Drosophila melanogaster: one gene and its partners. The protein of the gene in region 2 interacts with the protein of the main gene of each other region in a pairwise test. Each region holds a gene or a part of one and is shown on either strand. Other genes may lie near its edges.

The links.
Region 1: the proteins of Acbp5 (region 2) and stum interact in a two-hybrid assay, tested with the Drosophila melanogaster proteins (one large-scale study listed by BioGRID).
Region 3: the proteins of Acbp5 (region 2) and stops interact in a two-hybrid assay, tested with the Drosophila melanogaster proteins (one large-scale study listed by BioGRID).

Annotation. Positions count from the first base shown.
Region 1 is NT_033778.4:21,672,076-21,678,487, forward strand, and holds the start of stum (stumble), read left to right. Parts: upstream 1-2,825; 5' UTR 2,826-3,227; intron 3,228-3,998; exon of another isoform or gene 3,999-4,254; 5' UTR 4,255-4,439; coding exon 4,440-5,251; intron 5,252-5,313; coding exon 5,314-5,781; intron 5,782-5,849; coding exon 5,850-6,412. Other genes in the region: CG15676 (uncharacterized protein), read left to right, coding at 1-202.
Region 2 is NT_037436.4:8,786,558-8,790,876, forward strand, and holds Acbp5 (Acyl-CoA binding protein 5), read right to left. Parts: upstream 1,989-4,319; 5' UTR 1,958-1,988; coding exon 1,949-1,957; intron 1,884-1,948; coding exon 1,644-1,883; 3' UTR 1,587-1,643; downstream 1-1,586. Other genes in the region: Fhos (formin homology 2 domain containing), read left to right, coding at 65-787, 962-1,163, 2,382-2,748, 2,814-2,960, 3,613-3,951, 4,028-4,319.
Region 3 is NT_033777.3:31,165,018-31,171,138, forward strand, and holds the start of stops (slow termination of phototransduction), read right to left. Parts: upstream 3,588-6,121; 5' UTR 3,457-3,587; coding exon 3,010-3,456; intron 2,409-3,009; coding exon 2,309-2,408; intron 1,443-2,308; coding exon 1,333-1,442; intron 1,263-1,332; coding exon 1,159-1,262; intron 1-1,158. Other genes in the region: Gycbeta100B (guanylyl cyclase beta-subunit at 100B), read left to right, coding at 5,992-6,121.

The DNA of each region.
Region 1 (6,412 bases), on a different chromosome or scaffold from region 2:
GCAAAAGGTTACCCTTCAAGTGGGCGCATCTCTGCAAATGGAATTCGAGCTGTCCGAGGCGGAGGAGTTCATCAAAAAGGACATCACCAGCCTGGTGAAGCAGCAATTGCAACATGAGCACGATATCGACTATCTGCAGGATCAGGTGAACACGATTGAGATGAACCTAGCCGTATTGTATAAACATGAAGTGGAGAACTAGAAGCATCCCACCATCCTTAAAATTGCTAGTACCTTGTAGTTGCTTATAAAGACATTCGTTCTAAATAAGTCTTTATTGTCTAAATGCCTTAATTTCCAACGAAGTACAGCTCTCCCTTGGAGTTCCCCACTAATTCATTCATTACAATTACATTATTAGCAGCCCGGTAAAGAGGTCAGAGTATCGGGACCGTAGGATCCCAGACTGTGCCCTACAAAATGTGACCTTTATTACCGAGCTCGGCTATTTACAAGCCTATACACATCATAATAATTATGACTTAATTTCGCCAGGGAGCACCGCTTAGTCATTGTGTAATCCTCGGTCACAGCCAATTACAATTGAATGCCTTTCAATCCCATGCCCATGCCTTCGTCCAGCTGTTACTCCAGCCCTCCGCATATTCGCACACGCAATCTGCCAGCCACAATTGATATTAATTTGTGCCCGATGTGGGTCAACCCATGATGTAGACTCCATTCCCTTCCAAGGATACCAAATTATATGGCAAAAGGACAAAACTGACCAGCAGATGAGCCACATATCGCGTGGGAAAATCTTATTGCAAGCGAATAAAATTACCCAACCGCTCCCAGTGAGCAAAGGTGCAGTTTTGAATTATATGAATTTTCATCCATGGGCTTGGCACACTAGATTAGGGTCAGCACTATTCCCGAATTTTGATTAGCCAAGCCCAAAGTCGAGATTAGATTGCTGCGCTCTCTCAACCAGATCAAGTGAATCCGCCAAAGAGTTTGGGCTCGGCTAATCGAAGCCCCTTCAATTGGGGGAATCAGATCTGCATCTGCACACCTGCACTCGTGGACTCCACGCTGTCCACCTGTCTTGAGTCATGGCGCAAAAAAAAAAGAGGTTAGAAACAATAAAAACAACTTGCGGCGCGCCGCCAGTGCCAAGTTTTCATGTCCAAGGCGTATTTATGTCAACCGGAAGTAGGTTTACTGACCCACGTATACCCGTGTGGCTGGCCAAACGTGGACTTCGGCTTTCTTCGGTGGTTTCTTCACCTAAACCCGACTGGTCAGTTGCCGTGGAGCTCCACGGCGCAGGACGATGTATAAGAAGGTATTTGCCCACGGCGGATTAGTTTTTCTACGAACGGCGAGTGCAGTGCATCGGATCGATGCAAATGCGCGTTGAATTTTTTGGGTATTCAGTTTTTTATTTGAAAATCTCTCACCTTTTTTTTTATGACAATAACTCTACAAGTAACGGTGCATTAAAAATTAAAACCAAACTGCCTAAAATCGGATAGAAATCGTCGGATATATCGCAAACATTAAAAACTTCCAACTCGGTTGTGTAGTGAAAAAGCCCAAAACAATTAACTCGTAGATGTCTCTAGGAATTCCCCGACTTGTGACTCCGTGTGACTCCACTGGGGGTTCGAGTTGGACCCCACAAGGGGCGGGTTTTTGGGGGCTAACACGACATTAGCCAAGGATTTCTCCGGCACTGCCACTTAAAAGTCCCCCCGTTCCGAGGGATTCGTGGCTTTGGTTTGGGTGGTCTGTGTTTGCACACATACCTGTCTTTAGGCGTTATTGCTGCCACTGCCGTTGTTGTCTTGATGTTGCAACAGTGCCCGGCTGGCCAAGGAGTTCGTAGCTGCGGGCCAAGTGTTGTTGACTCCTAGCCGCTGCACAAGGCAACGCGGAATTTGTTGCGGTTTTGACCCTATTCCAAAGCCAAGGAAAGTGCAGTGTACTCGCCGAGGGTCTTATACTCACTCAGTCGAGTGCAGGAAAAGCGTCCTTCTGCCGAAGCCTTTTGCAATATTTATGGGCAGAGACACCTTTCACACAGTGATTAAGTGATCCTAATTTTTGGGCGACGCATAACTATTTTTTGACATTCTAGCGGATAAAATATTCAAACACTTAAAATAAGGATATATTTACTTTCAATACTAAATCAATAGGCGTATTTTAAACTGATTTTTTTGAACACAGTAAAGGAAAGTTTTTATTAATACCTATCATTACGTTCAATCAGAGCTCTTATGTGCAATCTCCAACTCCATAAAACTGCATTAAAGTGAAATGAGCGAAAGTGTTCATTGAAATACATGCGTGCATTCAATAGATACAAGTGGCATTAAAGTTATGAGGCATCCCGAAAAGTATGAAAAATTAGCTGACTGAGCTTCTCGGTGGCAGGCAGTGCGGCGTAGAAGTACAAAAGTGTTGGAACATCGCGTGCCACAGACATACCAACAGGTGTCACAGCCAGCCGGGGGAAACTGGGGGAAGCAATCAAAAGTTGTCTAAGAGGCAGAAAGAGCTGAGAAAGAAGCACACGCCGCACAGATGAACACAACGACATGCAAACGGCTAATGCAGCCGCCTCGCTAGGCGGCGAAATGCGGAAAACTCGCGGAAAAGTCGCGGCGAATTGGCGCCCCCGGTCGCCTTTTCTTTTCGGCTTTTCAGTTCGCCAGTCTCGATATCTCAGCGGGTCTGCGTGTGCAAACTGTTGGGGCACCGAGTGTGTGTGTGTGTGGGGGGGGGGGGCATTGTGTGCTGTTTTGGATTTGAAGTGTAGGCAATATTTCTCTTGAAGGCCTCCATTTTGCTCACTTACCGCTGGTCGGCCATCAGTTTAAGTTAGGCAGCGGCCACGTTTCGTCGCGTTTCCATTATTTGTTGCGGCTTTTCAGCAAATACATTCTATTTCCGAATTAGACTAAACTTAAAACCCAAATGTAAATTATATAATGCGCTCCAGGACCAAACTAACACAGTCAGTGTGGACGTGGCAGGTATTAAAATTCGTTATTCAAGTGTGACCGAGCGTTAATGAGATGCAAGAAAACTGCGTGTAATGCGGCAAGCGATTAAAAAACCAATTCGCAAATAGGAAGCTTAAGCCGCCTGGGAGCCGGCCAACTCCCCCAAAACGCGTCATGGCCAAAACAAAACGAAAGGAACGAAAAGGAGCCGGCCAAGTCACTTCCTTTTGGCCCAAAGTGTGTCACCGAAATTCGAGCGGCGGGCCATAAAATGTAGGTTAAATATTAGGCAGAGGAAAATCAATGCGAACAAAGGCCATTCATTCACACCTTTCCTCCACCTTCCCCCCCAAAACCTTCATGGGCTACGTCATTTCGCTAAAATATCTGCGTACCCAGCCGCACAGCTCCAATTAAACCATCGCCTTCTTCTGGTGATAGGATAGTCTCAGCCCGCTGGCTTCCACATCTGCCGGGTCGTTCGACTTCAAGTGCAGTCACTAATGCGGCAATTTGCAACATGCAACGCCGGTGCAGCCAGCCAAGCCGAAGCCATCCGCCCAAAAGCAAATCCCCATCCCCATTCCCCCCATTCAAGCCTTTGAGGCCTCCTCATCAAGTTATGCTCTCGTTAGCGCCAAGACAAGCGTTTGGGAGTTGGGAGTCCGACTCGGATTCGCATATAGCAGCAGGTGCATGGCATACCATAACGATTCCGATTTCAAATCGGTTTGGTTTCGGGGCGGCTTTATCAGCGCCTCGCACGCAGCTATTTATAGTTGAATGTGGAGTGAAATGGCATTAGAAAATAAAGCCGTGCAGTAATAATTACTCTACTATTTTTGCCACAACCAGTGATGGAAGCGGACGTATCCGGGCAGTTGTACCTAATTACTTTTTTTTAATTGCTGATGAATTTAAATTACTTTACTCAAGCTATTAAAAATTTAGGATATTTGAAAAAAGTTACTTGGTATGAAGACAGAAATTACTTTTATTATTATTTTTAAAAATTCGCCCAGGTAAACATACTCAATACCCTTTTCCATCACTGCGAATTGGCAATGAAACCGGCAGCCCTTCAGTTTCGCTCTCCGGTTTTTGGGACTGCCTACTCCGTGCTCCGTGCTCCTCGTTCCGTTATCCGTTCTCCGCCGGTGAAGGCGTCGCGTGTACGTCTCTCTGACATTGCAAGAGGGCCGGAAGGTCTCGCTGGTCGTCTGTCTGTGGAATCAAAAGATGTGCGCACATGGGTGTTGTGAGTGATTTTTAAATACATTCTGTTGCTTCGAATAAACAGCTCCTGGCGTCATTGGTTTTGTGGCACTTAAACTAAAGCGAAGGACGAACGCGGAGTGTCCTGCGTGGAAATCGGCTTCCAACTACTGCAACCACGACTGAATTTCGCAAAAACGCTGCAACAATGGATAGGAAATCATAGTGAATGCATGAGGGCCGAAGATCGGTTAGCACCCATGTCAAGCCATGCAGCAGACCCTCTCGTACTCATCATCATCGCCATCCCCATCCCCGATGCCCATGCCATCAGCCTCAGCCGCACAGACGCCGCCACCGAACCCGAATCTGACACCGAATCTGAACATACGTCCAAGTACGAACCCAATACCACGACCCAGATCCACTGGAGGCGAGTCCGCGTTCCAGCCGGCCATCATCCCGGTTGATTATAGCTATCGCACCCATACCACCCGCTCCATTCTCTCCGCCCAATCGATGGCACCCTCCACGTTCGCCTCCAATCAGAGCTTTGTGCGCCAGCCCTCGGAGTCGGATGCCCAGCCGTATAGTAGCCTCTTTGGGGATCCGGTTCCACCGCCTCTGCAGCCGGATGATTACTTCGGAACAGCAGCATTTGAGACGTTGCGAAATGGGTCTGTGGAACTGCCCAGCTCCGAGGAGGATGCGCTGGTGGCCGCCATGGCGCTGAACGCACTTATTCCTGCGGCCAGGGAACGCATCTTTCCGAGTGTCCCGTACTCGAGGACTCCCCGAGGATCCCTACTGCCTTATCTCCAGCCACCCGACATCCAGATTCTGCCCAACTCGAGCGGTGGCTCCAGTTCAGAGCAACTGGGCTCACCTAACTATCGGCTCCTGGCCCCCGATGACATTCTGAACAAGCCGGACGTTTATGATTTGGAGAACGAGGTCGAGGAGTACACCGTAGTCGGTCAGAGAATGTCTTTCGATGATGAGGAAGATGAGCCGACGAGGACTCCTAGCCAAGCGCCCGCCAAGTTGAGTGTGTCCAGCATCACGACGGAGGACCACAGGGGGTTGGTATTTGAATACACCAATATATTATCCAAACTAATCCTTCGTGATTACCTCCTCTTAGATTACTCAGTGACTCCTATTCGGGAAGGGATTGGTTCCGTCCGGCGCCACAGCACTTTCCAGAGTTCACACGCATCCCACGATTGCGGCCCAGCTCCAAAATGATTATGTCGATGAAGCAGGATGAAGGACCTCTCTCCCCACTGGCCACCATGATCCAGGACATGAACAGCTCGAGCAGCGGCGGAGAGGAGCGAGTGGCACCCAACCAAAGCAGGCCCGTTAGCAGGGACGTTGTACTCTCACCGAAGCAATATCTGGAGGAACAGTTGGGTCTGGAGAGAGGTAGCCAGAGGCAGTCGCTGGAGGACTATAGAATGCCACCTCCACCGGCAGACCCGCCCCCTTTCCGTAGAACTGACTTGACGGAGCAGGATGACAGCCGCAGTGTGGAGCCTGAACATAGCTTAAAGCGGGAAATGTCCCCAGTTATCATCAGGGATTCAATACCTATGGGCGGAGATTATAGGTAAGGTTATCCTGTGGAAAATATCCATAAAGATAATACATATATTCAAGTTTTTCTGTCCCCTCTAGAGTGGAGCAACCTCGTCCACACAAAAAGACTGCTTTCACGATACTTTCCACGGGACAGGCAGCTTCTTCTGCTCCTCGGCCTCCACAACAAGCTCCCACCAGAGGAAGACACGCCTCCATTCAGTCGACATCGACGACTACCTCATCGCCGGCCGGCAGGCCTCAGATCAGTCCTCGACGGAGATCGATCTTTGGCTCAGAGCCGCGACTGCCTGAGCTGCCCTCCGCGCTGGGTTACACCAGTCACCTCGTCCACCAGACCACGGATGACTCGCCACGCCCATCGGTTCAGTTCAATATGAGTGGACGCCACAGTCGCAGCAAGCTGGCCATTCCGCAGAAGGGCATTCTCCAGCAGCGGGACTCGCTGACCTCCTCCATCGACACCTTCACGCCAAGAGCCCAAATAAGAAGGGGTTCCATTGGCAGGGATCCCATCCGCAGCTTGCCCTATGGCCAAAAGATCAAGAGCATGGAAACACTGCCCCTGATAAACGATCAGCATCGCAGCTCCATTCCCCGCCTGCACTACGGATCCACCATGGATCTGAGTAGGCCGGAAC
Region 2 (4,319 bases):
CTGTTCACCCGCTGATCATGCTAACCACAACCAAACAAAAAACACCATACCATGCCAAAAATAGGCCAGATTGTAACCGCCATACCCGCTACCATTCAAACCGGCGATAGTCCGCCTCAGTCCTTGCAACATGAGGTGCCACCGTGCAACAACATCAGCGGAATCACCAACATTAGTAACAACAATGTCAGCAACCTTAGCTGCAATGACACGCCGAACAACAGCCTCTTGGTGATGAGTCCTAGCAAGCAACTGCTCACTGGAAGCCACAGCATCTCCATTATTAACAACAGCTTCGATAAGGCGAGCAATAACAATCAGAGCGAGTTCCTGACCAAGAAGAACCTATTCCGGGAACGCAATTCAACTGTGATCAATGGTATTATGAAGAATATCCAGCAAACCGATAGTGCCTATAAGAAGTACGAGAACGAAGCGAACCGGCTGAACAACTATTACAGTCAGTCGCCGAAACATCAGATCCATCAGCCCATTCAGCCAACGCCGGAAGTCCTTTTGAGTCCCAAAAAAACGCTAAATGCCTCTGGGTTTGATTTCACGCCCGCTCCCCTCAGTTCCACCCCGGTTAAGTGTGATGTCCCGCCGGAACCGGAGCCACTGAGTCCGGTAAAGAAACCCGCTGCGGCACCACCACCGCCTCCTCCACCGCCACCGCCGCCACCACCACCACCTGGTTGGTGGCACGCCCCCATCTACAACAGCCCGCAAGCTCGAACCCTAACCAGTACTAACCCAGAGCTGCTGCCGCATCCTGTGGATCCTTCAGGTGGGTCTCAACCTAAACCTTAACTCCATTCCATTCACCTGTCTCTCACCTGTGTGTTGCATACTCGCGAGCGCCGCCAATACATTCACATTGCATTGCGCATCTGCCGCTGCATACTTTTGAGAGTTAAGATTTGATGAATGGGCTTAACGTTACGTTTGTTATGTATCACAGATATGGAAAGCGAGGATCAGCAGCTGCTCCTCCAGCTGAAGCGGGACCACACGGTCAAGGATCTCACCCAGAAGTTGAGCAACCTGCCAATGAGTCCCACTCAGGATTCGGCGAATCGCGCCCTCGTCGGCGATATGTCCGGTCTGATTTCGAAAGCCAAAGAGGGTCTGGCCAAGAGCAAGAGCAAGGGAGAGATATCCAGGTAAGAAAAGTAGAAGTCTTTTGATAAAACCCACTAAACCTATAGGCTTAGGCTATACTCTCGAAGTTACCCAGTGGCGTTAGTCGTTTACCATCTTTCTGGGAATCAAGCTTTTAAGTTAGGTTAGGAAACTTTTTTATAGCTCTTCCATATCAAAATCAATTGAATGCCACTAACTATCAATAAATGTTCACTCTGCTAACCCCTTGAGATTACAGAAAATGATAGATGTTTTACAAGCAAAGATTTACGAGAATATATGGCGCCACCAGTTGAAGATAAGAAATCCGTCTAAGCTATTAATGATAAGCGGTGTCATGCTTTCCGGTTATCTGATATAAGGTGTTTTACGACCTTGGGTTCATAATCTGTGAACCAATAAAACAGAATTGAAAGAAGCTCCTTCCAAATAGACAATCACTTAGTTCACAGATGGTCAAGATTTATTGGTTGGTATCAGAGTGGGCCATAAACTGTAGCTTATCCGTAGATGGGGTTGTACTTCTCGTACAGGGCGACGTAGGCGGCCTTGGCGTCATCGACGGACAGTCCCTTGCGGCTCAGCCAGGCATCGTACTTAGCGGCACCCTCGGCATCAGCGGGCTTCTCGATGTTAATGTCGCCCTCCTGGAACTGCTTGTACAGGCCATAGAACTCCAGGTACACCTCCGTTGGGGGCTTCTTGCTGAAGGCCTTGGTCTTCTCGAGGATAGCGTTGAACTGTAAATAATGGCAAATGGGAGTTAGAGAGTTCTGTGTTCCGATCTTTACAATCATCAACTTACATCGGCCATATTGCTTGAGTTATGCTTGACAAATGTGACTTGTCCCTCTCAGTGCGCCGTCTTTATACCTCCCGAAAATCGGGAAGTTCTAGTTAACAACGCTTATCTGTATATAGAAATCGATAATGGTTGCCACTGCAAGCCGATAATGTGTGAGTCCATTGTGCAAATTTATTAGATTAGATTTATGTACCAGTTTCATAAGAGTTCAGGTTTTTGCCCAGCCTGACATCGTCATCGGCTTTCTCGAATCCCTAGAAAGTAGTTTGCCGCCACCCTCGTTGACTGATTTTTGATTACTTATCATATTTATGTACATACAAAGTGGTGCTAGGCGTTAGTCTATCAAAGATAAGGTCAGACTAATCATTTATGGCCACCATTTACACGATAAAAGCTATAATTGTAGTGGCATAAACTTTTTCCTTTACAGATCTTCTAGTGTCGATCAGGATGTAAAGAAGTCTGAGCCCAAGAAGTCGGAAAATGAACTTCACTGGGAGGAACTGGTTAGGAATATGACAAGGCCCCTAAATCTTTGCGATCTGGACTTTACGGATCTGAGGGATGATGACGAGAAGGATGTGCTGGCCCCTCGAAGTTTGGGTGCCGGTATACCCCCGCCGCCTCCCCCGCTGGGTGGAGCCATTGCCCCACCGCCAATGATGCCTCCAAGCTTGGCACCACCACCCATGTACGGATATGGCGGTAGTCTAACCAATAGTGTCAATTCGTTAAATGGTTCTATAAATGGTGAACTGGTCAATGGTAATAACACCATCAAAAAGAACAAGAAAACGGTTAGTCTCATCATTGTTTAATATAAAGAATGAGAATTTACATATTGCATTTGATACACCCTAAGGTCAAGCTCTTCTGGAAGGAAGTGCGCGAGGACATGATACCGCAGGTGGTGGGCAAGACCATATGGGATGAGCTGCCCGATGCCAACGTGGACACACAGAAGCTCGAACATCTCTTTGAGTCCCGGGCCAAAGACTTGATGACCAAGGTTCGTATGCTCTAACCAATAACACTTTTCCTCATATAACACCCAATTGGTCAAAGGTTCTCGAAATTCAATGGATCTACGATAAATTGTGATTAAATTAGTCATAGGCTCTTCTTTAAGTGTGTGATGCGTTAACAAAATGCGAATGATTTTTGTATTCTTCTTTCCCCTTCTATTTATGGATATATTATATAATTCTTAATACCTAAATGTCGAACGGTCTGTTTGCGGATAAATCTACATAAATGTTGTGCTAAACTCAAACCAAAATGCAAATAATTCTCAAATATTCAAATGTTTTCCAATGTCTCTAGGAGGTGAGTGCCAATCAAAACGTTATTAAATTTGTTTGTCTTTTTGTCTCTCTATCTCTCTACAAACATATGTCGCACCATAACTCACGATCTATTGCCCATTATGTTTTGTGTTTTGGTGTTGGTTAATATAACTATTTTCATATACACTCTATCACACCCACGTACACTTGAAGAAATGATTTAGTTGCTAACAGTACAGAACAGCACAGAAACTCCAATCCAATTCCGCACTTTGCACCCTACACTCTCGTTTTCTCTTTGCACCACTGTGTTCTTATCTCTGACCGATCGCAGCCTGATCGAAAGGTATTAACCCTTTCCCGCTGACCTTGCAGAAACAACAAGAGCTGAACAAGAGCAAAGAGATCATCGTGCTTGATCACAAGCGCTCCAATGCCATCAATATTGCGATCACTAAGCTGCCTCCTCCGAGGGCCATTAAGACGGCCATCCTCAAAATGGATGCCACTGTGGTCACACGGGAGGGAATCGACAAGCTACTCAATATGCTGCCCACTGATGAGGAGCGTGGCAAGATCCAGGAGGCCCAGTTATCCAACCCAGAGTTGCCCCTGGGCAGCGCCGAGCAGTTCCTTTTGACCCTGGCCTCCATTTCGGAGCTGGAAGCTCGCCTGAAATTGTGGGCTTTCCGTCTGGACTTTGACAACAGTGAGGTAAGTTATAACGCTAAAGATTAGAAAACATACAAAAGTTAATTCTTACATGGCCATCATCTTTTTTAAACTACAGAAAGAGATTGCGGAACCGCTGATGGACCTCAAGCAAGGCATTGAGATCCTGCGTCAGAATCGCACCTTCCGCAGCATCCTCTCTACTCTGCTGTCTGTGGGCATCTTTTTGAATGGAGCTCCCGTCAAGGGATTCCAGATCGAGTATCTGGCAAAGGTTCCGGAAGTGAAGGACACGGTGCACAAGCACTCGCTGCTGCACCACCTCTGCCACATGGTCATGGAGTCGAGCAGTGATACTAGTGATCTGTACTCCGAGATCGGACCCATTACGCGAGCCTCCAAGGCGGATT
Region 3 (6,121 bases), on a different chromosome or scaffold from region 2:
GTCGCACACTCCACACACACACTCCCAATCGTACACCCACATACATTTGCAGCTATTGACGCTTATTCATGACTTTGGCTGCTGTTTTGCGAGAGGGCATCATAAATGTCGTCTTAATGCTTGCCAGTCAGTATGTTTTTTGCCTTCTGTTTGTTTAAGAAGCGCAAACAGTCAACTCGGCAATGGTATGGGTATGGTATATCCAAGGGGGCGGGCTGTATCTGTGTGGATTAGTGGGCGTGGTGGGGTTGAGCATGCCTTTGTGCGCTTATTACACGCATTTTTGACTTTAATCCTCCGAAGTGCTGGCGAACAAAGCCGAAATAACAAAAGGTTTACATCGCTGCCTGTTGGTTTTCAGCTTATCGCATCAGCGACACTCACACACGGACCTCATGTGCATGTGGGAGGGTCGGAAAAAGAAGGCGGAAAATGGGAAACCCCCCCCCAAAAGCAAGCTGCAAATGAAAATCTTAATTATACATGACACCAGCAGAAGTGAGAGAAAGCCACCGCCAGTGATTGAGAGCCATTCTCTGTAAAAGTGTATTCGCAGTCGTGTCTGTGGTTGTAAATTGTCGCCATCTTTCACTCAATTATGGCAGTCACACACACACACACACTCTGTGTAGGTGCCACAACAATGGCTGATGAATTAATTTAATTAAAATCCTTTCATTTCTCTGGTTACCCTTCACGTTCGTCCACCATTTCCTTGCATTCCCAGCGGGTATTTATAGTATCTTATTGTTACCGAAAACATTATTATTGTGTGGAAAACTGGCAAGCCATTAAGATTGATCGGTATCTCGGCACATAATCCGAATTTTAAAGTTTAATCTTTAATTCTTGGCGATTTGCTTTGTAAGCAACTTATAATTTGCTCTGATAGCCATAAGCTAAGTGTATAGAAAGGCTTACTGTGACTGTTATGAAAGTAAGAGCTCTCCATAAATGTCCAAGCATACAGCTAGTATGAAAAACTCTTTGGGGGAATGAAGACCTCGGCATGGCACCCAGGCAACTATCCAATTAACCCGGCTAGTGTGAAAATCGCTCGAGGCAGCAAAAGAGCGCGACACATGAAAGAGTGAAGAGGGGGGAGTGGGGAAAAGGGGAGAATGTCAGGACAGGATGGGGACCGGGCTGAGGACTCACCTGAGCTGTCGCTCCTGCTCGAAGCGCGGAATCCAGACGGGCAATGTGAGCTGTTCGCGTGTGGCGTGCTTCAGAAAGTAAACCATAGCCCGGACATTCTCGTGCTGCGAACAAAGGACATACATGGGTGTCTATTCCACGGGGCCAGGAATAGGGTCTTTCTGCCAGTCTCACCTGATCCTGAAAGTCACTGCGCCAGCCGGCGATGAAGTGCGGAGCATGTGGTCCAAACAGGGCGCCCAGGAAAATGCGCTCATATGTCTTCTCGCACTCGTAAATGGCCACTGAATTGCACAAAAAGGGGATAAATTAGTCATGGGAACAGGAAAATAGTTAAAAGTTAATTTATATAAAACAAGCCACGTTTAATAACATTTCGAAGTGGGTAATGCCATAAACCAAATTTGTATACACATTGTGACCGATTTTCCCGCGATGCAGGCAAATTGTCGGTAGTGGAGAAAGCGGTTAAATAATGTCATCAAATCGCAGCAGCGCAGCCATAAAAAAGCTAATTACGTGGCTGCACTTGTTGCTGCTTTGGTTTTTTGGCTTTCGGTTTCGTTGGCTTTTTGGCACAGCCCAGAAATGAAGTCAGCGGAAAACGGAAACGGCCACAATGTTTGCCAAACCAAGGCCAGCGGGTCCAAAAGGCTGGAGTCAGCAACAAAGCAACTTGGTGAGTGAGGACAGGACAAACAAGGAGCAAGTTTTATTGCACACGAGTCCAGATTCCCTGACAGAGGCATGCCATTAATTCCAGGCACTTTTCCTGCTCGCAAAAGTTTACGCAGCCTTTTAATTAGAGGCAGCCAACATGCGTACGCCCCAAATAACTTGCAACACTTTGAGGCACTTTACAAGTTTTACGATGCAGCAACAACAGAGCAACAGAACGACATCAGCAACACTTTCTTAACGCAATTAGCAGAAACACGTGATTAAAGTGAAAACTGCCTGCTTATGGGCGTAATAATCCGATGCGATGGGATGATATTTATTAAAGTATGCAAAGCACACAGCCACGCCCAAAAAGCAAACAGGAAAGTCTTGCCACACACACACGCACACTCACTCGCATACGCTTACGCACACATACGCATACATATGCATTTAAATTAAATTATTTAGTTGGCCCGACTCCACTTACCCAGCAGCTTGACGACCACCTCCGAGTCCCGGACTCCCCAATCCCAGCAGGTGCGCAGTCCGATGTACAGGATGTTGTGATACTTGCCCATGAGGCAGACCTGGGGAATACGCATGGAATGGAGGGTGTGGTGAAGGGGCTGAATCCCAACTGAAGTGCTACTTTTTAAATTATAAATAATTGCCATATGAAGAGATGGCATTTAAAATGGAAGAAAATTAAGTTTAGCAGACTCTGCCAAAGGAAATTAAGCCCGAAACAACTTTCCATATTTATTTACACTCTAAAAGGTCAATTGGATCGCAGCAGCAGGATATACATATTTATGCATAGTTTTAGTACTTTTCTAACCGTTTTCTAGAAAGCTTTATTAAATTCCACTTTTATTCGACTCAAAAGCAAAGCAATGTTATTTGGCTAATTAATCATTGGTTTCCATTCATAAGGCTTGGTTTAAACATTAACATTTATTTAATACGACAACGAAATAGACTGACTTGGCTTTTGTTCTAATTATTTATTTCGTTTTTTTAAGTACCGGAAACTAATTGTCAAATCATTATTAATTAAGTTGAGCTTTGCTAAAGCCCAGTGCTAGTTTGTATGGACTCTTTTAAGTAAATATTTATTCATATTAACTATTGAAGTTTGGCACACAGAAATGCCACATTGGCAACACTCGATTTGTACATAAAGCTCACCTGGCCGTTCTGCTCCTTGGCCATTCGGTGGTACCTCATGGCCGCCGTCACCGCGATGGCGGCCACCTCATCCGTCTGCGAGTTCTGGCCGCCGCTGCAGCCCTTGATGATGGAGCTCAGGTGGTCGAGGACATCTCGCCGCGACTGGCGGTCCTGCAGTCCGTTGCGGGAGATCTGCTCGAAGGTGTCGTCGAAGAAGCACTCGAAGATGTAGTCCATGACCAGATGGCGGCGCTGGGTTCGCCGGTTCCGCTGGTGACTGGCCCTATTGGCAGGATTCCGACGCAGTTGTTCCCGCACCCGCAGACGCAGCCGTGCCCGTGACTCAGTTTCCCGGCGGAAACCGTAGAAATGCCGTGGAAATGGCAACCAGCAGCGAACCCACACAAATTGGCTTTTTAATTGACTTACCAGCCGCTGGAAAGCCTGTAGCAACTGCGAAAGCATATTGCAAACAAAATTTAATTCACTTTAAGTAGGCAAATATTTTCGATTGAGCTGAATTGATGATTCCCTCCAAAGAATTGAAATTCCGCTTCAAAAAAACTCCCGCACCGCTGAAGCCAAAGAGTCGCAATACACAAAAAAGAGAGAATTTCTTTTGCGGGGGTGACTCTCTTGCGCTATCGATTTTTTGCAGCTGGCAATGATGTGCTGGGAGAACTTTTGATAAACATAAACAACTCATAATGAGCATGCGGAATATTCATTTTAATATTTTTAAGCATTGCAATCATATAAGAAAATAATTACATAGTATGTAAAGCTTATTCAAAAGCTGATATACAGTTCAATTACTTTTTAGGCCTCTTTATTTCCGTGAAGCTCCCAGCAAAGCAATTGGCAAACAGGTGTTTGATTACCAGCCGACAAGTATATTTCTATGAGCTCTTCAAAAACCGAATGGAACTCGAGGACTCCATTGAAACTGATTCGATTCGATTCAATTCGATTGGTTTTTGCTAAACAGTCTATTGCACTTTGAAATTTGCTGGCATTTTTCCGAACCATTTATTCACTGCACGCAGCGCACTCACACAATTTTCCACCCCACTCATCAGCTGCCGCTGGAAAACTAAACAAACGAAGTCCAATTTCTAAGAACGCTCAGCTGTTTACCTAAGCGCTCACTCTCCCGCTTTCTCTCCACTCTCTCTTTGTACAGAGAGTAGCGGAGGTATTAAATACGCGTTTCATGAGCATAAAGCTAAATTAGATTCTAAATTGGAATTTTCAATTTAAAATATATAGTACATATGTATGCTCTCACATTATTTTTGTGCTAAATGGGTAATGTTTGGCGATAAGCATAAAATCAAATGGCGCATAAAAACGCAGGTTTTTGTGATTTTGCAATATTAAACTGAAAAATAATTGGTTTGTCATTATAAGGATTATGCTTGATTCAACAAAAATATATTTATTTCGAAATAAATACTGATGGTGTGCTGTTTAATGTTTCAGTGCTTTTTTCGGTTTAAATCATTAATGAATTTGATTTTACAACGGAAAACTGAAAACTAATACAAAGTCACTCGATACTTCATTCCAGAGTGAAACCGATATTATCATAAAGCGAACCGCTTTAAGCTATCTTTTTAGAGATTTACTAATCCCCCTTCAATGAATCCATTACATTTTCAAGGGGATCATTTTGAAATAAATATTGCAACAAATATTCATATACACGGATTTAAATCTGTAAACAATAGGAGTGTTTTCTCGAGCTTTAGCCACGTCAAATGTATTTTAAAACACGACTCCAATTGTCATGTAAATTTCTCAGCTACAAAATAAATTCATATTTTAAATAGCAATTGTGCACATTGTTTACATGTTTTTCTATCACCCTTTGCCAATTAATATTTGTTTATGCGGGACATATCAATTTTCCCATACATTATTCAGGCCCACTCATTCCATTATTCGCCGTATTTGCACGTTTAATATTTGGGCTGACAATTAAGCGCTGGGTAAATATTTAAGCACTGCCATAAACATTAATTAAGAACGCACACCAAGGGATCCAGAGATGATGACTGGGATAATCATGTCTGGTAGGGATTCCTCGGGTCCTTCGCCTTAATCGCATATGCAAATAAGTGTCGAAGGACATTCGGCACAGTGTAATTAACTCAGGTCCATTAAAACGGTGCATATTTGTGCTGGTTACCCAGGACAACATGGCAATATTTTCACCTGAACAGGCTCACCTGAGCGCTAATTAAAAGGGCAATGCAATTGTGGCCATATGCAGGCTATCCGATGCCGCAAAGGTAGCGAATTAATTGAATTAAATTCGTATCCAATCAGCGGCGTATTGGCCGTAAATATATGAGTCCGAATAAATGCAACAATGTGTGGTTGCACTGTGGTCGAGCCAAGCGGAAGCGGAAATGCACACAAGCCTGGCGAAATTTTTATTTCGCTTCCGTTTTATGCTGCACTCGATTGTGCGGGCACATGGAGCACAATAACCGAATTTACATAATTTCTGGCGATGCAATCTAATAGCTGAATAAGGGGTCTCCCACTGTGGAAATTACGATGGCAATTTATTGGTGTGCAGATTGAGAAAAAAAAACGACCCCCGAGATATACATCATTCAGAGTGCATTATGGCATCAGACCAAGTCCACAACGGAACTCCCTAACTCGAATTTATGTGACTGCCAAAGGAGTCACATCTCAAATGTTAAGCACTACTATTCTTTGCTTACTGAATTTGCTTGCATCTTAAAGATATAGCTTATACATAACGTTCTGTCTTTATTTCTCTTCGTAAGTGATATTAAAACTCGGTGATTACTTTGTAATTTTGGATAGAATTATTTACTGCGCTACTCTACTTAAGAAAGTTTTATTTACGAAATTTCAGTTTACACTATACTAAACCCCAAAGAAGAATAACAGTTGAGTTTACACAGTGCCTTCCGCCCTGAAACTTATGGCATCTGCCCCTTTTTCCTTTCCTTTTTGCAGGCTCCTCTGTATGGCGATCAACCAGGATGATTCGTTCCACTTGGAGTACCGCGGACCCGTTATCATGAAGGGCAAACCGACGCCCATGGACTGTTGGTTCCTGACGCGTGCCACAAGCAGCATTTTGGGA